Linked DNA regions of Mus musculus. The protein of the gene in region 1 purifies or fractionates together with the protein of each later gene. This does not show direct contact. Links are inferred from orthologs where the notes say so. Each region holds a gene or a part of one and is shown in the gene's direction. Other genes may lie near its edges. The genes, in order: Gtse1 and Acad11.

What was found.
Region 2: the proteins of Gtse1 (region 1) and Acad11 purify together in Homo sapiens (co-immunoprecipitation; 3 studies listed by BioGRID and IntAct, counting the BioPlex papers as one, with this or other methods). This does not show direct contact. The link is inferred for Mus musculus from reciprocal best matches to the Homo sapiens genes GTSE1 and ACAD11.

The regions. Positions count from the first base shown.
Region 1 is NC_000081.6:85,856,254-85,867,209, forward strand, and holds the start of Gtse1 (G2 and S phase-expressed protein 1), read left to right. Parts: upstream 1-3,453; 5' UTR 3,454-3,541; intron 3,542-3,692; exon of another isoform or gene 3,693-3,750; 5' UTR 3,751-3,817; coding exon 3,818-3,842; intron 3,843-5,647; coding exon 5,648-5,705; intron 5,706-5,814; coding exon 5,815-6,442; intron 6,443-7,853; coding exon 7,854-8,009; intron 8,010-10,956. Other genes in the region: Ttc38 (tetratricopeptide repeat protein 38), read left to right, coding at 218-311. UniProt on the Homo sapiens protein: May be involved in p53-induced cell cycle arrest in G2/M phase by interfering with microtubule rearrangements that are required to enter mitosis. Overexpression delays G2/M phase progression.
Region 2 is NC_000075.6:104,074,314-104,084,816, forward strand, and holds part of Acad11 (acyl-CoA dehydrogenase family member 11), read left to right. Parts: intron 1-1,503; coding exon 1,504-1,629; intron 1,630-2,016; coding exon 2,017-2,178; intron 2,179-4,249; coding exon 4,250-4,414; intron 4,415-6,917; coding exon 6,918-7,059; intron 7,060-7,384; coding exon 7,385-7,506; intron 7,507-8,477; coding exon 8,478-8,584; intron 8,585-9,847; coding exon 9,848-9,974; intron 9,975-10,503. UniProt on the Homo sapiens protein: Acyl-CoA dehydrogenase, that exhibits maximal activity towards saturated C22-CoA.

The DNA.
Region 1 (10,956 bases):
TGACAGAAGCATGAGCTATGAGGTCTTGAGCCATGGCTTTCCCTAAGACAGACAACGCCACCGTGATAGACCTACACTGGAGTCCTCAGCTCTAGTGTTTATCTCTCATGGAAAATCAGAGTACTGCCCAGATGGCTGGACCCATCTTGCCCCGGCCAGTCATATTCGCACGTCCTTCTAGAAGGTTCTATAACAAAAACTCTGTGTGTTTCCACAGGAGCCTTCTGATGGAGCGTGACGCCTTGAAACCCAACTCACCCCTGACGGAGCGGCTGATCCGAAGGGCGGCCGCTGTCCATCTTATGCAGTAGAAACCGCCAGGTCCTTAGCCTACAGCTCAACACTGACCTCCTGGCGTGAGGTTGACTGCCTGGTTGGGTTAGGGTACGGTTAGGAAACAGCTGGGTTTGTTTATCAGAGGTTAAAGTTCAGTCCTGAGCAGAATTCTCCAAATCAGTAGTTTGGTCAAAGTAGGGAACCCAAGTTAATTTTGAGTGATGTTCAGAATTCCTCTCAGGGCCAACATGCGTTTTTTAAGCCTCCAGAACCAAAGCAGTGGCTATCATTTTCAGGTGCCTTGAACATTGTATTTTCTTGTTCTGAAGTCGGCAGGCAGCGAAGAGATGTGGCCAGGTCAGCTGGGAGGTCTAGAAGTCTATGTGTGTGCACATGCGCACGCACTCGTACACACACACACTGCACTAGTGAATCCTTTCCATTTAGTTTTCCTTATATTCTGCACAGGTCCTGCTGTCCCATTTCCCTGGGGAGGATTCCAGAGAGCTGCCTGGGGTCCCAGTGAGCAGGGGCATTTCCTTTCTGGGGGGAGGGTATCCTGTCTCGTTGGCTTTGGTTGTCAGCCCCAGACAACTGCACCTGCCACCGTCCCCAGAGACGAGGGGAAGAATGCCTTCTGCCTCCCTGGGGGACTTGGTGGTGCCAACTGGAGCTTCTCTTTAGACTTCACTTGGGAGTAAATCTTGAGGGATGTGGCTTCCTTGGCTAGCTCCGATTCTGCTCCTGAGAGTGGGTGTGAGACCCTCAGCTGTCTTAGTCGGGGTTCTATTGCTGTGAAGAGACGCCATGACCAAGGCAACTCTTACAAAGGAAAACCTTTATTTGGGGCTGGCTGACAGTTTCAGAGGTTCCGTCCATTATCATCATGGTGGGAAGCGTGGCGGCATCCAGGCAGGCATGGTGCAGGAGGAGCTGAGAGTTCTGCATCTTGAGCTACAGGCATCCAAAAGGAGACCATCTTCTTGCAGCCAGCAGGAGGGTCCCTTCTGCACTGGGTGGAGCTAGGCCCTCAAAGTCTGCCCCCACAGTGACACTCTTCCTCCAACAAGTACACACCTCCTAATACTTGTCACTCCCTAGGAGGCAGAGGCAGGCGGATTTCTGAGTTCAAGGCCAGCCTGGTCTACAAAGTGAGTTCCAGGACAGTCAGGGCTATACAGAGAAATCCTGTCTCGAAAAAACCAAAAAAAAAAAAAAAAACCAAAAAACAAACAAACAAACAAACAAAAAAAAAAAACAAAAACCAACTTGTCGCTCCCTATGAGCCAAGTGTTGAGTCCATGGGGACCAAACCTATTCAAACCACTACACCAGCTTAGGGCTGCTCTGCTGTGGCAAATAACCAGATAAGTGACATAGCCATCACGAGGTTTAAGCCCATCTCCTGCTTCTGTGACAGGGACATCCCTCCTGGAAGTTGATGCAGTTCCTACTTAAGTAGGGACTGATGGGCAGGTGGGAGTGGGGAGTGGGTTGGAGGTCTCCAAACCAGATCTTTGCTTAGCCTGCTCAGAGTCCCTGCAGTCTGCTGAGGACTGGACAGGTTTTGGGCATTCATTAAAACAATTGGTCCCGTTGACTACCCTCTCCTATGGGAACCTCTGAGCAGCTCCCAAGTGCCAGGTTTGGGTTGCGTCCTAGGGAGATGGGCTTCTCTAATCTTAGCTGGATGAGGCAGCAAGTCAAGAAATTGTGTAATCGCCATAGGATTTGAAGAGGTACTGTCTCCATATCAGGGAGCCTGGGGACAGGTGCCAAGGGGGAACCTCCTCATTAGTCCTCATTATGTATATGATTCCAAATAATACATGATTCAGCCAGAAGCGGAGTCTTGCTCTCTGTCTCTTTCAGAAAGCCTTCCACCCTGCCTGTGGGCTGGTGACAGTGCCTTCTCTTTGCCCCATAGCCCTTGGCACTTGCCCTTGCTATTGAACCACTTTGTGCTGTGATCTCTGGTATTCAATGGCTTCCATTGAATGCCTTGTCTGTAAAAGCTGGTATGTGTAGGCTTTCATGAAAGAAGGCATGCATCTGCCAGGGACAGGCGACTGATCTTAAAGGGAAATGTGTATGCGTCTGGAGAGATGGCTCCATGGCTGAGCACTTGCCGTTCTTCCAGATGACCAGAGATCAGTACCTAGCGCCCACGTAGAGCCTGTAAATCTAGCCTCAAGGGACCTGACACTCTCTTCTGGCCTCTGTAGGCACTTGCATACCTGTACATACGCACACGTCGGCAAAAAAAATAAAATAAAAATATTTTTAAAGCCAAGAGAAAATGTAAATAGCAGTGAGTTACTATGGGTATGCTTTCCTGAACATCTACTATGACCTGATATGATACAAAGAGAAGTGTTGGTGAACTTTACTGCCCAGTGGATAGCCCCAGGGATGCAGGGATTTCATGCACAGGAGCTAAAGGCTTGGACCACAGATGTGACTGCCACCGTGGTCTTGCGCCCCCCCCTCCCGCCCCCGGTGTGAATCAGAAAAGCCTGGCCCTTAAAATTCCAGATACACAGAACCGGTCACCATCCCCAGCCGGTGGGAACCTTGGGTCCGACGAAGCCAGCTTGCCTACTAGTGAGCCAGACCTGGCCGATGTGTAGAGACGACATCCAGACTTGATGGCCTTCTTGATGGCTATCCAGGCCAACCCTGGACTTCCTTGAACCAACAGACCTTGAAGCCAGTTTCCTGCTCATTGCTATCCAAAGGCATCTAACATATTGGCAGCAAAGAAGTGCTAAGACCGGCTCTGTCACTCTTCTGCATTTGAGGGAAAAGGGAGGGCCTGCACACCAGAGTACAGGAGAGAGGCCTTAGGCTGCAGAGAGTACCCGGACGCATGAGAAATACTGGAGATACCAGGACAAGCACCGGAGAGAGTCGGGACAAATTCCTTCCTAGCTGCCTGACCATCTCCTATGCCCCACCATCACCGCCTCGGTCCCTTTTGCTAGCACAGCCACAGGCGGAACGCTTAAATCCTTTCTGTGTCTCCGGAGGAGGAGAGTCATGGGAACTTCCGGTGGGAGTTTCCTGCGCCCAGCGGAGCCAATCCGTGGCTTGGAGTCTTGGGCATTGGTCTTGTACATCAGCACTCTGACTACATTTCCCAGGCTGCACCGAGAGCGTCTCCTGTTTAAACAGGCCAATCGGCGGCCGGCGGAGCCGGGCGCCGCGTTTAAACCGGTGCCGGAGACCCAGCTGGATTTTATGCCTTCCCGGTCAGAGGCGAGGGGTAAGGAGTGGTCGTAGCGCTGGTCCCGGAGAGTGGGGAACCGGGTCCCGAGCCGCAGAGATCCGGGGAGGACGGGCTGCGGTGCCAGCTCTGCAGCTCAGAGCCGGAAATCCGTTACCCCGCCTCGGGGCGCACAGTCTGGGAAACCGGGAGCAAGTTGGGGCTTGCCTCTGACTTGCCTAATTCTCCCGTCCCCTTGCTTCCTGCAGCGAACTCTGTGGAAGGAGGAGACGGCCGCGACGTGCCTTCGGCCAACCAGTGGAGAGAGAGGTGAAGATGGATGCTGGTAGTAAAAAAGAAGGTAAGTCCTTTCTGTTCGTAAGGCTGTTCTGGAGTGTATTCCTTTTCACCCCAAACAAAATAGAGAGGGCTACAACAGATCAAAGAAACGAAGTCTGGATTGATAAGCAAATAAATTTAACTGAAGTTACTTACAAGGACATTAGCAATTCATAGCTCCACCACCAAAGAAGCCCCTACAACATCCCCACCCACTTTTTAAAACCACTTATGTAATCTTAAGAGGGGCCTCCCCCCACTTCCAGAAGGGCTTTAAGTGGGGGTCTTAATCTTGTGAGGGTCTCCTGTGGTTAATCACAGTTGCTGTGCTATCAAAATGGCAACAGCTTTCTCTTGCACTGAGCGCAGAGTCCCTCACTCCACCCATTCCCCTGTGGTTCATTCTTTTCTCCTCCACTGACTTACTTTGTTTGCTTTTCCTTTCTTGCTTGTTTTTTTGAGCCCTCACTTTGTAACCCGGAACTCACTCTGTAGTCCAGGCTGGCCTTGAATTCATCGAGAGCCACCTTCGGAAGCCTTCTGAGTGCTGGCAAATTCTTTGAAAAGCAAGACTTGCTACGTGGTGGCTGCACACGCCTTTAATGCCCCAACTGCAGAGGCAGGCAGATCTCTTGAGTTTTATTTCAAGGCTAGCCTAGCCTGGTCGACAGAGTGAGTTCCAGAACAGTTAGTTCTCTTTGTAAACCTACACAGTGAAACCCTGTCTAAAAGAGGGGAGGAGGAATCTTTACGATGACTTGGTTTGTGTGTGTGTGTGTGTGTGTGTGTGTGTGTATGTGTATGTGTGTGTTTGGGGGTGGTAACCAAGGTGTGCAAGCACCTGAGGGTCCCAGGGCTTGAACTCAGGTCATCAGATGTGGTGGGAAGTAACTTTGCTCCCCTGAGTCTTAGAGGGTTGATGTGGGTTTACAATTATTTTCTCCCTTTTAGGGCTGAGCACTGGGCCTTTGCACCCTATCAGGTTATGTATCCTCTTTGACACCTTAGGAGACTGCTTAACACAGTGATGCCCATTATAAGAAGCACCTCTAATGACCTAGGCTGGCAGCCCAGTCCAGTAATTTATGAGCATAAACATAAAGGTTTAGAATGCAACTTAACCAGGCTGTAACGTGCATCCTTAATGAAGCCTATGACCTTCCTCCACCTTAGGATTTTGTCCTGAATTATGTAGGTTCCCTCCGGTGAAGCAGACCTTTAAGTACTACTGGGAAGTGGCTGGTCTGTGAGAGAGAGCTGAATAAATCCACAGTTGGTTCAACCAAGGCTATGCTAGGAATGTGGATAGGCAGAGCAAAATTTTTGTTGGTGGTTTTGGTTTAGGTTTTGGGGTTTTTTTTGTTTTTGTTTTTTGTTTTGTTTTCTTTTTTGTTTTGTTTTTTTGGAAAGGGACCCGAGGAGCAGTGGTGCTCCACAGATACTCGTTGGTCTCTACTGTGAGTTTGAACCATCTTTGAACTCATCGCTGATAGATGTCTCATAATTGAATTCCAGGCTAGCTAAAGTAGTTGATCTTTAGAAAATAGCCTGTGCCTGAAGGTGACTTAGCCTTCTTGGAAACCCTAGATTCTATCATAGAGGTAAGGTTCTGTGTTTTGATGGTGGATCAGTGCACTCAGAGTGGCTCCTGGAACTTGAGAGTGGAAATGGGAAATAAGAAGGACTTGAGGTGCCCATGACAATTGATTGAATTCAGGCAACAATCTATTACTTTACTGAGAGATTCATAGCAACTGTGAAACCAGTGCTTTCCTGTTTTATGTTACCCTAAAATAACTGAACTTTTTCTCCCCATCCCCACCCCAGACTTTCTTCTTTTGGAAGATGAAAAATTTGACTTCGATCTTTCCTTGTCTTCTTCAAGGTAAACATGCGTTTTCTTCCCTAACCCCTGGTATAGACAGGTTCATCAAAGCCCCTCGCCTAGATGCTGGTGTGATTTCAGCCCTGATAATCTTTTTCTTTAAACGCAGCACAAATGAAGATGATGAAGTCTTTTTTGGGCCTGTTGGACATAAAGAAAGATGCATTGCTGCCAGTTTGGACTTAAACCGCCGGGTTCCTGGGCAGCCTCTTGCCCCGGGCTCTGGTAGCCCTTGCACCTTGAGCCCTCTCACTGGGGAGAAGTTTGTGGAGGTGTACAAAGAAGCCCACTTACTGGCCTTACAGATAGAAAGTCACAGCCGAAGAGAGGTGGCCCAGGCTGCCACGCCCCAAAATCCTGTGAACCAGGGCAAGGAAACGTTTGTGCAGGACTCACAGTTAAAAGTAAGCCTCTTTGAGAAAGAACAGAAGAGAGACAGAAGTCCCATGTCACTTAAAAGAGAGACATTCTGCCTGCCATCCTCGAGGGTGCAACCGCCCATGGGGGAGCCCCAGCTCCTGGCTTCTCCAGGCCTGCTCAGCTCCCCTGTCTCAGCAGGCCCTGCTCAGACCCAGAGCAACCAGGGTCTGCCCTGTTCCTCTCAGCCGTTGCCAAGAGAATCAAGTACCTCCCAGCCTCCAAGTCAGGCTGGGCCTCAAAAGAGGATCACCAGCAAGCTCCAGCCACCTCGGGCTTTGCCTGTGAGAGGAAGAAACCTTCACCTGGCTACAGAGAAGGTAAACCCAGGCATAGTACAGTTGCGATGTACACAGCCTCCTTGCCTCTCTTCAGCCCATGCCCTGCCAGGGAAGCCTCTCGGGAGGGGCAGCGCTCTGAGCACTGGAAAGCCCAGAATAGAACCAGAATCTGGACAGCGAAGGCAGCAGTGATGGGGAGCTGCCCGGCCGGGCCCCTCTGGGGAGCACTGCCCCTCACATTGGGCTCTGGCTGTTCTCTATGGCTGGGACTTTATACTTCTTCTGCCCGGGTATTACATGAATGTCAGGGAAATGGCAGTTGACCAGTTGTGGGAAACTCAGGGCCCTGGAGGCCTAGTTGGGGGTAGGTAGAAAGGCAGATGTCAGAGATAACTTACTTCCAGGTTTGCAGAGGAGGGGGACGGAGGTCTCCCGAGAGGAAACACAGAGTAAAGGCTCGCTAGAGTGTAGGGCCAAGCAGCCCCATAGCAGCCTCATTTGTACTGAGGGTACAGTTAAAGGAATGACGGTGAGGTGGTGGGAAGGTGAAGCCCTGCACGGCCCCTCTCCCCATCTGTGAGCCCTCTCCTGACCACATCTGACACCAAGACACCCTGGGTGGGATTGCTAGCAGCACGTGGATATGGAACAGAATTTGTGTGTGATCCATGCATGGCTGTGGGTCACAGCACATGCAGGATACCAGGCAGGATTGTAGTGTCATCAACCAGCTTAACACGAGGTTTTCACAACCGCAGAATTGCCAACAAATGGAGCCAGCCCAGATGCCCATTAACCGATGAACAGATAGCTAAAACGACACATCCGATAGTGGCATAGGTTTTTTTAGTAAAAGAATGACAGTATCACTGAGTCTGTCCCAGGGGGGAGCTTCGGGTCACAGGAAGCGCTACAAGGGGAGCATTGCTGTTGGCCTCACACTGAAGCGACTGCTTGCACCGCCTTCCTTCTCGACATCCTTGCTGCGTGTGCACGAGGAGAAGGTCCTGATGCCCTTGCATCACTATGTCAGGGCTTTGCTCTGGGCTTGCAGGCCAGAGAGTATAGGCTTGTTTGTTTGTTTTCGAGACAGGGTTCCACTATGTAACTGCCATGGGACTCACTGTGTAGACCAGGCTGGCTTTGTGGAACCTACAGAAGTCTGCCTGCCTTAGCCTCCAGGTGCTGGAATTAGAGGCATGTACCATATGTCTGGACCCCTCGATGGCACTCTTAAGTCAGGGCCTGACAAAGGAGGAGCCTTGGAGATCCTTCTGCAGGCCGCCTGCCCTAGTCTTGACACTGCTTCAGTGAGGAGGTCCAGTCTCATCTCAGTGCTCCTTCTCTCACACTAGTGGATGGGTTGAGAGGGGCAGCATCCAGGATGAGCGGTGCCAGCTCTGGAATTGTCAGACCAGGTAGTCTTCACCTCTCAAATCGACATTTTCAGCTCAAAAAAGAGGTGCCAGCCAGCATTCAGAGGACGAAACTCGTGAATGAAAAGGGATCCCAGAGTGACGTGCTCCAGGACAAACCCAGCACAGCTCCAGATGCTGCCAGTCGAGAAGGCCACCCAGGCAAGCGGTCACTCCCCATTCCTGGCAAGGTGAGTTGGCTGGCACTACAGGGCTGCCACTTGTTCTATAGGAACGTGTTGCCAGTTTAGTATCTTGATTACAATTAGGTCTTCAAGGTTTTGTTTTGTTTTTATTTAATAAATGCATGGACATAAGTTAAACCCTAGGACTCACATTTTAAAAGCCTTGTGTGGTGGGGTACCAGGAATCCCAGCACTGGGGAGGCAGAGGACACTTGGATCCCTGGGGTTAGCTTGTTGGTTAGCCAGCTTAGCCAACTTGGTGAGTGCCAGGCCAGCCAGAGACCCTGTCTTTAAAACTACACAGTAGCTGGCCATGGTGGTGGTGTATGCCTTTAGTCCTAGCACTTGGAGGCAGAGGCAGGTGGGTCTCTACCTGGTCTGCATAGTGGGTTCTAGGCCAACCGGGACTACACAGTGAGACCCTGTATCCAAAGTAAATGTAAGAATGGGAAGTCATCTGCAATTGTCCCCTAATCTTCGTGTGTGTGTGTTAGACTGCGGAGAGGACAGGCCTGGCCATGTGCAGTGAACTGGCCTTGTCACTTGGGCTGTTGTTCCCAGCAGCTGATTCTCACTGATCCCTCCGCCTCTATGGGAACTTGAGGTATTGGGTTTTGTGTTCTGTGTTCAGAGCTCACAGACATAGAGACTGTCACCTTTCTGGTACTCTGAGCTGCCTATTAGAAAGCATGTATTAAAGCTGCTACTGAGCCTATAGGAGCTGATTTGAGGTCTGAGTTGGAAGTCTGCAATCTTAATTGCTGCTAGTTCTCTGCACATTCCTCTAGCAGAGGTTTACACATTACGTTCTAGACGCAGTCGGGCCTCCAGATTGAAGCTATTTAAAAGAGAAGTTGCCTCTGTCCTGAACCTGTATAGCTTCTCCCCATCAGTGTGCCTGAATGAGTGTGATGGCTTGCACAGTGGAGGGTTATTGGGGTCCTGTGTCCACTCCACCACAGGCTTGGGGAGCCAAGACACAGGGAGTTTGACTACACTTACCCCGCTTACCCCACGCTGTCACCGGCCAAGTGTTGGGCTGCAGGGAAGCCTCAGGGACAGCACTCCAGGGGTGGGGAAGCTCCGGGGGTAGGGAAACACAGCCTGAAGCACAGGACAGTCAGAACTGGCTCAGGGGTCCCAGGCCTGCAAGGAGGCTGGCACCGTCTGGCTCTCAGGCTCTTGGGCACCCAGGTACCACTGGGAGTCTCGGAAGAACTGAGAACAGAGTGGGGGCCCTCGGGCTGGATCTAGCCCAGGGCCGAGGGGGGTAAGGGGAGAAGCTATGGCTAGATCCCACGGGAATGAGTCCTAGGCTTGACAGTGGGCGGCTGGCTTGGCTTGGTGGTCATGGCTGGGGACCCAGAGAGGCCCCTCTGTGGGAGATTAGATGGTGACTCTTTAGGCGAAAGCCTTCTCTATTGCTCCCCACAGCGGATCCCAATGAAAAGAGGCAGTCCATAGTTTTAAGACATTTTTTTGTCATGGTGGAAAGTGGATGGGTAAAACGGTACCCCATTGTTGGGGCCGGCCTGCGGCCCTCATGTCCAGGTTCGAGCCTGGAAGGCATCTTGTAACTGGAAGAGAAAGGGAATCTATGTGGGTAGAGAAATAATGGAACCAAGACAAGCTAATCTGCTCAAGGTTCCAATTTTTAATGGCGGACACGCTTTATAAAGGAGAGGGGAAAGCCCATTCCCGCCAAATCATCCTTGGAGCCCAGCTGCAGGTGACCACGTGTAGGATCGGATGTAGACTCCGGAACTGCGGCAGTGGCAGAACAATAGAGTGATCCAGGGAGGCAGGCTCCACCCTAGGTGATCTCCTTAGTGGTAAGCAAAGTCAAGGTCTAGTTCAGCCTGCTTCAGGCTTGTGGGAGGCTACACCCCATGTCTCAGGGTGGGCCTGAGGTTAAAGACCTTTTTCAGGGAGGAGTGTCTGGGAAGAAGAGTTTATTGGCTAAGCCTCCAGGCCTTTAAGGTACCTCATTAAAATGGAGATCTGTCTTGACCATAGGTCCTCTACCTGTGAAGGGGCTTGGGGTGTAGCCCTTAAGTGGCTGATGGCCATAAATCTATGGAGGGCTGTGGGAGTGTCAGAAGCTGGGTGCCCAGGAGCAGTGCAAACCGCCTTCCATCCCTTCAGGGTCACCGGGGTTTCTCACCTTTGCTCAACCAGGAACCAGGCTGCCTTACATGGTCCAACAGCAGTCTTAACGTTACATTAAAGTTAGAATCTCCTAGAGGGTGTTTGCTTGTTTATTTATTCATTTATTTGGTTTTTCCAGACACGGTTTCCTTATGAAGCCTTGGCTGTCCTGGAACTTACTATGTAGACCAGACAGGCCTTGAGCCTAGATCTGTTGCCTCCAGGCCTCCCAAGTGCTCGAATTAGGCATGAACCACCACCACCTGGCATCTAGAGGTAACTGGTCCATGGTGGATCTGTGTAGGTCCCATGCAATTATCACACTATTACATTTGGAGGATCCATGTAGTTTCGTACCCACAGGATCCCACAGAAACTGAGGGATGACTATATTACTTTTTTCTATAAAGATGATAATTGTTACTGAGATTTTTTTTATTGAATATTTTCTTTATTTACATTTCAAATGCTATCCCCTTTCCCCCACTCCCGGAAACACCCAATCATATCCTCCCTCCCACTGCTTCTATGAGAGTATTCCTCCACCCACCCACCCACTCCTGCCTCCCCGCTCTTGATTCCCCTACACTGGGGCATCTATGGAGCCTTCATAGGACTGAGGACCTCTTCTCCCATTGATGCTTGACAAGGCCATCCTCTGCTACATATGCAGCTGGAGCCATGTGTTCTCCTTTGTTTAGTCCCTGGGAGTTCTGGGGGGTCTGGTTGGTTGATATTATTGTTCTAAGTTTTTTTTTTTTTTGAGATTTTTAAATTTTAGTATATGTGCATGAGTTTTGTCTGG
Region 2 (10,503 bases), on another chromosome or scaffold:
ATACCTCATAAATACATACAAACATGATTTGCCAGTCAATTTTTTAAACTAAATTTTCCTGGTTGCAAAAACAGGAATTATCTCAAGATAGCAGGAAGGGACATAAATGCAAGTCCTGCAAAATGTACTAAGTACTCTGCATACGTGGGTGATACTGGCATCATGTGCTTCGTAGTCCTTCACCAGGAAAGACCACTGTGGGCGGGTTCGATATCATAGTGACAGGGGACACAGATGCTCATTTTCTTGGCTCCATCATACTCCTGACAACATGAAGTAACTTAGATGCTTACAAAAAAGGAGTTGGGTAACTTTTGTTAATGTCAACATGGCATGGCTGAAAGCAAACCCCACCCCCACCCTGCCTAGAAATGTCTACCTCAGAAGCAGTCCTCTTTGAGTCTCCTCCTGACTATGTCCCACTTGAACACCGCAGAAAGCTCTCAGCCTAAGTCCAGCTCCATAGATGTGGAGCACCTTGTCTGAACTTCCTCGGCTTTCCCCAAGGCTGTGTTTTAAAAAGCAGTGTCCCTGCTTTGCTGTTGTCCCTAACCCTTTTGCCCCTCCCTCCCCTGACACACACACACACACACACACACACACACACACACACACTCACACACTCCCTGCCATCCGCTCTCAGTTCCTGCCACATCTCTTTCAATAGCCCTCAGTGCTATGGACAGTTCCCACTTTGGGTTAATTACTTCCCTGGTCCATGACTGCATTACTCTTTGAACTCAAGCTGAGCAACATGTTTCCCCTTCCCTGGAACTGGTCAGTCACTTCTGCCCCAGTGTGGCAGGCACTTTCTACATGCACAAATCATCCTTGTTCACCCATATTACATCTCTGCTGTAAGCCACAGCCTTGGGACCTTTCTGGGTCTGCAGGTGTCCCACCCAAGGATATAAGGTTTCCTCTTCTCTTTCCTGAGCCCCAGCTTTAAGATCAACTTCTGGGCACCTGGTTCCCTTCAGTTATCTGGGTTCCCAGAACAGACCATGTACCTATAAGGGTCTTCATGCTCCTTCCTTGGAAGTTTGCTGCTCTCTTGATGATCAGAAGGAATAGGTGATTTCCCCTTCCCACAACCACTGCCTGCCTTCTCCAGCTCCTGTATCTGACTAGAGGAACTCAATCCTAAGCCTCCTGAGAACTACGAAGGGAGAGGTGAAGCCAACAAGCAGGGAACTTGTGAGAACACAGAAATGCCCTTTAACAAAAACCTGTGAAATATAGCCAGGCGGTTGCCTTTGTGCTACAAGAGCCAGTAGTAAGCCTCATGCAAATGCCTATCTTTTTACCCCAGTTAAATAAATGATCATGCTTTAGAGATGGCCTACTTTGTAATTGTAATGGCTGAACAAGCTCCTGTTAAGGGAATATTACTGTCAGCTCTGGGTTACATATTGACACATGTTGTAGCCAATAGCCTCAGTTAAGGTTAGCCCACATGTAGTTATTAAATTTCTGTTTCTGGATTTTAATAATCCTATTTAGATTGACAGAGAATTCAAGATCCAGAAAGCCTTGTTTTCCATTGGATTTCCTGTTGCCAAGCCCCTGCTATACTGCAGAGATGCTTCAGTTATCGGAACGGAATTTTATGTAATGGAACATGTGCAGGTAAGTTAACAATCTTACTTGGTTGGTGCTTTTATATTGCTAACTTGTTCTTAAATACCCCTCTAGGTGGCAGTAAAGAGCTACCAACAATTGTAGCCAAACAGGGAGATGGGGATGTGTGTGTGTTCTTATTGGGGGGAGGCACCCTTCCACATAGAAAGAACAAACCATTAAGAGCAAATTCAAATTGTTTTTAATTTGAAGATGTGGGTTACAAGCAGTTTAAAACCTTCAGGTTTAAACTGCTTCTAGCATGTCCTTGAATTTTGCCTTTGGTATGTATCCACATACACATTTCACAGACAAGCCTACGCCTAACATGCTCTGTAGTTTGCTGAGTTTGTCTGTCAGCTATTTAAAAACTGGCCATTGTGATCACTTTGATAGGGTCGGATCTTTCGTGATTTTTCCATTCCTGGAGTTAGCTCAGCAGAACGTGCTGCTATATATGTGTCTGTGGCAGAAACCCTGGCATGGCTACATTCTCTGGATATACGCTCGCTGAAGCTGGACAAATACGGTACTGGAGTCGGGTACTGCAAAAGGCAGGTAAGCCATCTGCGTCAGAATGTACTGCATGGTCTCAGAAGTAACGTACTATGAATGACTAGTGAAAGCAAGCCCTGTTTGTTATGTGGCTGTCTGAAATTTTGCCACTTAACATCTTCTTTGGTAATGTATTCAGATATCTTTTTAGCATGAAATAATGCTGGTGTGTGTGTGTGTGTGTGTGTGTGTATTTTGAGTGGATGAACCTGTATCTGCAGGTACACAAGTATGGCACATGGGTGTGGAATGAAGGCCAGGGATTCGCCTCAGCTTTCATATTCAGGAGCCATCCACCTCATTTTTTAGGTGAGGCACCTCATTGGCCTGAAGCGTTCTGATTAGGCAGTCTGACTGGCCAGTGAGCTTGAGGGCTCTTCCTGTCTCTACTCCTCACTATTAGAACTCCAGGCATATACCACCATGCCTAGCTGGCTTTCTTTGTCTTCTTTTCTTCCATCCTTCCTTATTTTCTCTTTGTCTGGGTTCTGGGGACCATGCTTAGGTCCCCATGCTTGCCCAGCAAGCCCTTTACTGACTGAGCCATCTCCTCTCCCACTAACTTTATTTTTTAGATAACTTTTGTTTAGTAAAGGCTTCCATTTCTGCTTTTCACTTGGTTTACCAGTAGATTTTCTTCTCAGTTTTCCCTTTCTAGGTTGTGCTAAGCAAAAATCTATTAAGCTTTTATCAATTTAATGCTTGCAAGATACTTTTTTAAATATCAAGAAATAAGAAATAGGTTCCTGCCCTAAAGAAGCTTGTGGCTGTTTTTAAGATGCTCATTCACGAGTCTCATATACATGAAGCTGGGGAATGGTCTATTTCCCTGAGTTTACTACCTATTAGTAAATTGTTCAGTGCTCATTGCAAGAGCTGTATGTCTAGGGCACAGGCATACATGCCTGTGCTTGGATGTGGAAAGGAACTGATATAGAGAATTAATAATGAGATGGTGACCCTTGCAACCAAATGCAGGTAAGACTAGGCACTCATGGGCTGTATTCTATTATAAGTACGCCCTTTGAGAGTGGGGTGGGAAGATATGAGAGAGTAGAGTATTCGATGTGTGCTATTGAGTGCTAAGTGAGCTGTAGACTACCTCATTTAAAAATCTCTGCAGAACTCACAAGACGGGTATTAACCTCATTTTGCAGATGAGGAATATGAAGGTTATACTGACCCGGTAATACACAAGTAAGTTCCTAGACAGTATATAAATCCCAGCCAGTGAGACCCGTGTAGGGGGATTTTGTTTGCTTCTAATTCTAAGAGCAATATAAAGTCTGCTTTACTCTTAATGGTATCTTTAAAATACTCTGTGGGTGAGGGAAAGGATGTTAAGTGAGAAAAGCTCTTTCTAGCTTTCATTGCCCCCTTTTCAGGGAGAAATTGTCTGCTTGTGGTGTGTGTACATGTGTGTGTGTGTGTGTGTGAGAGAGAGAGAGAGAGAGAGAGAGAGAGAGAGAGAGCCCAATGAGAGAGAGGGGTGAGAAACTACATGTGGTGTGTATACGTGTGTATGAGGGGTTGTTTGTATGCATTTCTGTCTTCCATGGAGTACTTACTGAGTGAAGACCATTCTTTTTGTTTGGTTGGTTGGGGTTTTTTTTTTGGTGGAGGGGGGGTTGTTTGGTTTTTTTTTGTTTTGTTTTGTTTTTGTCTTTTTGTTTTTTTGAGACAGGGTTTCTCTGTATAGCCCTGGCTGTCCTGGAACTCACTCTGTAGACCAGGCTGGCCTCGAATTCAGAAATCCGCCTGCCTCTGCCTCCCGAGTGCTGGGATTAAAGGTGTGCGCCACCACGCCCGGCTGAGTGAGGACCATTCTTGACACCTATGCCAGTGTTTTTACTTCTTGTCCAATAGAAACCTACGTAGGTAAAATGGCACAACCTGGAAGAGAAACCTGCATGTTTGGGGCTTTCGGCTGATAGGAGTGTTTCAGGCTGCTGGGAGGTGCATGTGAGCACTGTTTTGTTAAGCATTCTGGAGTAAGGTGGACTTGGGCACAGATGAAGTGGTCTTAGAGTCACGGACAACGGAACGTTCTGTCTGTACCGCTGTCCCTTCCCAGGTGTCCACCTGGACGAAGCAGTACCAGGCCTCAGCCCATCAGAGCATCCCTGCCATGGACCAGCTCTCCACGTGGCTGATGAAGAACTTGCCAGATAGTGACAGTGAGGAGTGCCTGGTCCACGGAGACTTCAAGCTGGACAACATAGTTTTCCACCCCAAAGAGGTACCGCAAGCTGTGTGTGTGTGTGTGTGTGTGTGTGTCTGTGTGTGTGTGTGTGTGTGAGAGAGAGAGAGAGAGAGAGAGAGAGAGAGAGAGAGACAGACAGACAGACAGACAGACACTGTCTAGGTCTGACCTGAGGCTCCAGAAGCAGACAGATGTCCCCCACCTGCCCCAGTGTCCTGAAGGAGCCCAGATCATTCTGTTCTTCCCCACAGCTCAGTCTGTCTCCCACTTAAAGCTTCTGGAGATGAGTCCTACAGAGTTTATGGCACCGGACTCTGCCTTTGGGCCTGGTCCCAATCTTAAACAGTAACATAGTCATCACTTAAGCAGGACTTGGAGGTTGCTGTGTGTCTCTCTTGTTGAAGAAGACTTCAATCTACTACTTTAAATGTCAGCTTCAGGCTGCAGAGATGGTTCAGGGGGTAAGAGCACTGACTGTTCTTCCAGAAGTCCTGAGTTCAGTTCCCAGAAACCACATGGTGGCTCACAACCACCTGTAATGCCGTCTTCTGGTGTGCATAAGAGAATGACAGTGTACCCATGTACATAAAATAAATAAATGAACCTTTAAAAAAAGAGCCAGCTTCATGGAATAACATGGCTGGCAGAATTCATGTCAACAAGCATTCAGTTGTGAGCAACTCTGTGCCCAGAAACATTTCTCCTAACAAGCATAAACCACAGATGGAGAGAAAAGATAACTGACAAACAGCAAGAGAGCAATTGTTATGTGCCAGCATAACACCCAAACAACCTGTACAGCTAGGCATAGAAGGAATGGCCCTGACTGGACTAACGTGAACAGGGTGGAGAGATGATGGCTCAGCAGTTAACAGCACTGGCTGCTCTCCAGCACCCGAGAATCCAGTGCCCCCTTCTGGCTTCTTCAGGCAGTGCATGTGTGTGATCCGCTTATATGCAGGCAAAGCACACATACACATAAGTGAAATTACATTTAAAATTACAGGAAAGTAATATAGAGAGGCTGGGAGCCTCTCCTCTGCACCCTTGACATAGGTCTAAACTGACCGGGCCGGTACATGGCAGATGCCCACCGTGCTCCAGTCTCCCTCCTTGCCTTTCCCGTCTGCTTCCTTCCTCTGCTTGCATCTCACCTTCTGTGAGTGCCTGCCTAGCCCTGCCTCTGGCAGCCCTTTCTACCTCCTTTGAGTTTTTACAGATTTGACTTCCCCTTCTTCGGGCTCCATGATTCCTGCATGACTGTGTGACTTTTTACCCTGCAGGTACAATGACCATAATCTGTTATTTCAAGAACTGTCTCCTTTAGTATTTATTTAATTAAAATCTTTAGATTGGCGGCATGTGTGTGAGTGAGAACGTTTCCTGAGTATAGGACATTTAATTTTTAAACCTTGAACTTAGGTTTTCAATTTTTGCAGCATACTATCATGTGAGTATAACTTCATATCTTAATCAAGTAAGACCTTTCTCCCAGTGCCTGTGGGCTGAACCTGAGCCTGGCAAGCACTTGACCAGTGACCCGTGTTTCCCAGCCCTTTCCTTACCTGTGACTCAGAGTCTGCAGTAGCCCACAACTCTACAGTACTATGTCTGAGTTTTCCAAAGAATCAAGGAAGTGAAAAACAAAGGTGCATGGAGGCTTGGAGTACCCTGACTCACAGTGTGAGTGTGAGTGTGTGTGTGTGTGTCTGTGTCTGTGTGTGTGTGTGTGTGTGTGTATATGTGTGTGTGAGTGTTTGTGTGTGTGTGTCTGTGTGTGTGTGTGTGAGTGTTTGTGCGTGCATGTGTGTGTGTCTCTCTCTGTGTGTCTATGTGTCTGTGTGTGTGTATGCATGTGTGTGTCTCTGTGTGTGTCTGTGTGCGTGCGCATGCATTCATGCATGTGTCTGTGTGTGTATGTGTGTGTCTGTGTCTCTGTGTGTCTCTCTGTGTGTGAATGTTTGTGCATGCATGTGTGAATGTTTGTGCATGCATGTGTGTCTGTGTGTGTGTGAATATGTGTGTGTGTGAATATGTGTGTGAGTGTGTGTGTGTAGGTCAGAAGACAACGTGAAGAGATTAGCTCTCTCCCGGTTATTTTATATAGCTTACTTTAAAGAATTATTGCTATAATGGTACAATATATATACATATGTATATCTATGTAGTTATTTTCATCACCAGTGCAAATACTTTCTTCCATATTAATTCTTAAAATATAAATATAATTAATCATTAGAACTTTTCTTTACCACAGTTCCTCCAGACTGAGAAGTCAGAGCTGGGTTTGCATCTGTTTGTTAGCAGAGATGTCAGGGCAGAGTGCAGGAGGATTGGCAGCCAGCAGTAGCACCAGAGGCCTTGGCTCTAGACAGTTGATGCCAGTTGGTTTCTATAAATGAGATGCACCGCCATGGGCAAAGACTACAAACTGAGGTCTGGTTGCATTTTGATGGAAATGTGGGTGAATGTACTGTGCCGTCTGCTTGCTTATTCAGTTTGTTTTGAATCCAATGTGTCTGTGTACATCTTGTTGCAGTGTCGGGTTATAGCAGTGTTGGACTGGGAGCTCTCGACCTTCGGCCATCCCTTGACGGACTTAGCCCATCTTTCCTTGTTTTACTATTGGCCCAGGACACTGCCCATGATAAACCGAGGCTCTCACATTCCAGAGAACACAGGTACAGAAGAGCAGTCATATGTAATCCTCTTTATTATTGCCAGAGCTAAAGACATAATTTGCCTGCAGTTTTATGAAGCTTTTGTTCCTTAAAAATGTTTCTAATTCATCTTACTGGTTTTCTGAACTTAGCATCTCACTTTTTATAATCTGTGACAATACACAATATTTTGCATATACTATTACTTGGGGAATCAATATTTAGAACAGGCTCAATACTGACTGCATTTGCACTGCATGCCACATTGTTTCTTCTTGCTGTATTGTGTCATTCTGAAGTGTTCTCTGTGGCATTCTTATTAAGGTGCTGTGTGCTGTTTTTCTAGGAATACCGTTGATGGAAGAACTGATTTCAATATACTGCCACCGAAGGGGAATTGATCCTAATCTCCCTAACTGGAATTTCTTTATGGCCCTCTCATTTTTTAAATTGGCTGGAATATCACAGGTAATTATCTGAAGCAAGTTTCACCATTTCTTTCTGATGTACTGTGAGCTCTGGCTTCCGGTTCAGGCTACTGTGTAGGCCATTGTGTTCTCCAAAGGTCACGTCAGATATGAGTAATGTGTAAATTTACAACAACAACAAAAAACTTCAGTGGGGAGAAAATTTGAGTATCACATGAGTTATGACTCTTGTACAGAGAAGGTCAGTGAGAGAAGATGTGATGGTGGCAGGAGAGTCGGGAGAAGCGCGTGGTGGGAAAGACCACGGTGCGCCTGCAGGAAAAGCAAGCCAAAATCCTCTGTTGAAGACTGAAAAGTCTTCTCCCTTTGTTTAGTCTCGGGGCCACCCAGGGAATGGTGACACCTGGTTCATCCAGGGCGGGTCTTCCCAACACAGATAGATCTTTCTAGAAATGTACACATGACCACACCCAGAAGCCTGATTCCACGATGATTCCAAAGCCAATCAAACTGGGTGTGTTAGGTTGGGAGCACGGAAGTGGGGAGTTGTGAAAGAGCTGCTGGCCATTCAGGTCACACTGCTCAAAGGACAGGTTTACTCAAACTAGGAATCAAACATGATATTGAATAGGAAAAGTCATCTCATGGCCTTCCCCTTGGTGTTGGTGTCTGAGTCCATTTTGATCGCTGTGAAGAGAAACAGTTATCAGTACAGATGCTGTGACCTGCAGGTGGCCTTGTTTGGGGCAGTGGCTCATTTTCAAGTTTGGTTTGAGTCATTGGTTATACTTCTGCCTGGATGAGAGTGTCACAACTATGTGATATGAGTGTGACTCTAACTCAGAGCCATACAGTGTCCTCTGCAAGTATGTTCCTGGTCTCCATGGTCTGACTGACGTCTGGAGTCCGTGAATTTAGTTCCCCATATGGATCACACACTGGAAAGACTAATTGGGTAGCCGGGGATCGTTTTCAATGAACTTTAATTGTCCCATGTTAATTTACTTGTAGGGAGTCTATCGTAGATACCTCATGGGAAATAACTCATCTGAGGATAGCTTCTTAACTGCCAATACTGTGCAACCTCTGGCAGAAACTGGATTGCAGCTGTCAAAAAGGTAAGGGAAGCATATTCTCTGGGTAATTCAACTGGCTTGGTCTCCTAAGACCGCAGAGTCAGGAGACAGTCTGGGTTCGTCCAGTTAAATAGTCACTGGATGTGAGAAGGTTAAAATGTTAAGAAAATGGAAATGATATCTCTGCCCAGACTAGGGCTGCTTTGCCAGTCAGGATAGTTTTCTAGTAAGTCACTATATACCTAAAAAGATATTGACTTAAAAATGAAAAAAAAATTGCCCATATTTATGATTAAGTGTATTCTTTGCCACTTTGAATGTATAACCTTTTAAATACATAGGTGAATATAGTTTCTTATATTTGTTACACATACCTATTTAAATGATATTATTATATTTATTAACTTAGCAATACTACTTTTTCTTCAACATTTTGCAAGTGTCTTTGAAACTATGTGTGTATCCGGGCAGCATTTCTGAGGGGTCCCACATACCTTTCCAGCTGCACTTCTGCTCCTTATACAATGGATGAATACTTCTAACCCCAGCGACATGTTCTAAGCCTCACTTCCCATGGAATGATTGGTTTGGATTTTTTTTATTATTTGTTTATTTATTTTATATATTTGAGTACACTGTAGCTGTCTTCAGACACCCCAGAAGAGGACATCAGATTCCATTACAGATGGTTGTGAGCCACTGTGTCATTGCTAGGAATTGAACTCAGGACCTCTAGAAGAGCAGTCAGTGCTCTTAACCATTGAGCCATCTCTCCAGCCCCAGGATAATTGTTTTTTATAACTCATTTCTAGACTGCTCTGTGTGATTTTTCCAACAGAGCAAGGCTTCACTGTGTTTCTTATTAGGCTTCTATTAAAACACCCGGCAGTGCTGTCTGGAAAATGTGTGAAGAATACGGGTCAGATTTACAGCAGACAGCCCTGAAGCTAGCACTGTGTGAGGCCATGTGAGGCTCGTATTTTCCAAAGTAGCCCTTTAAGCGTTCAAGCTTAGTGGTCAGAACAATTCTACCTTTGCTCCATAAAAGCAAAGATAGCCCACGCGGCTAAGGGTCCAGCCCAGCAGGAGAGCAATTGCCTGCTGTTGGAAAGACTCTGAATTTGCTCCCTCGAGCTGCTGAGGGCTAAGGGATCCAAACTGAACAATAAGCCCAAGGCTCCCAGATATGGCAGCTCCTCCTAAGGATATTTTGGATATCTGGGGAGACCTTGCCTTATTTTAAGAGATATGTACTAATGACTTTGGACACCTTTGTAACCTTCTCTTTTTTTTTCTTTTGCCCAGAACTCTCAGGACTACACCACCACAGGCTGATGCTAAAAGCCAGCTGTTTGCACAGAGCAGGAGAGGCCAGGAAGTTCTCACTAGAGTGAAGCAGTTCATGAAGCAGCATGTCTTTCCTGCTGAGAAGGTAGTGTGTGCAAGGACTGTGGGCGAGTAGTTCTTTCCTGGCCATCAGCCTCCCCCCAGTTCTCCCACTTCCCGCAGTCCCCAGCCTCACGGACATTTAGAGCTAAAACATGCCTGGAGGATTAGCACATACACCTATGGTTGCAAATGGAGGCAAAGGGACCGAGCAGTGAGGACACGAATAGATAAGGAGTGAAACATTACATCCAGTTGCCTTTTGCTAAGGCGGTGACCTTCAGCTTTTGTTACTTTAAATATGGATGCTTTGAGAATTTGAGAACCACAGTCTCCCCCAAATAGACATGGCAGTGAACTTTGGCCTGTCATTTCAAGCCACACAAATACTACCATTTCTTTCCTTCATCAGCTATTACTATAAAGGGTCACATTGAAGAAGGTCATGGAGTGTAGTGAGAAATATTCATCCAGTAAAGAATTATGTACTGGGTACCTTACGACAGACTGGACACCTGAAGAGCTGCTGGAAATAAAAACAAGACAGACGGGGTTTACACCCCTGTAGAAAGACA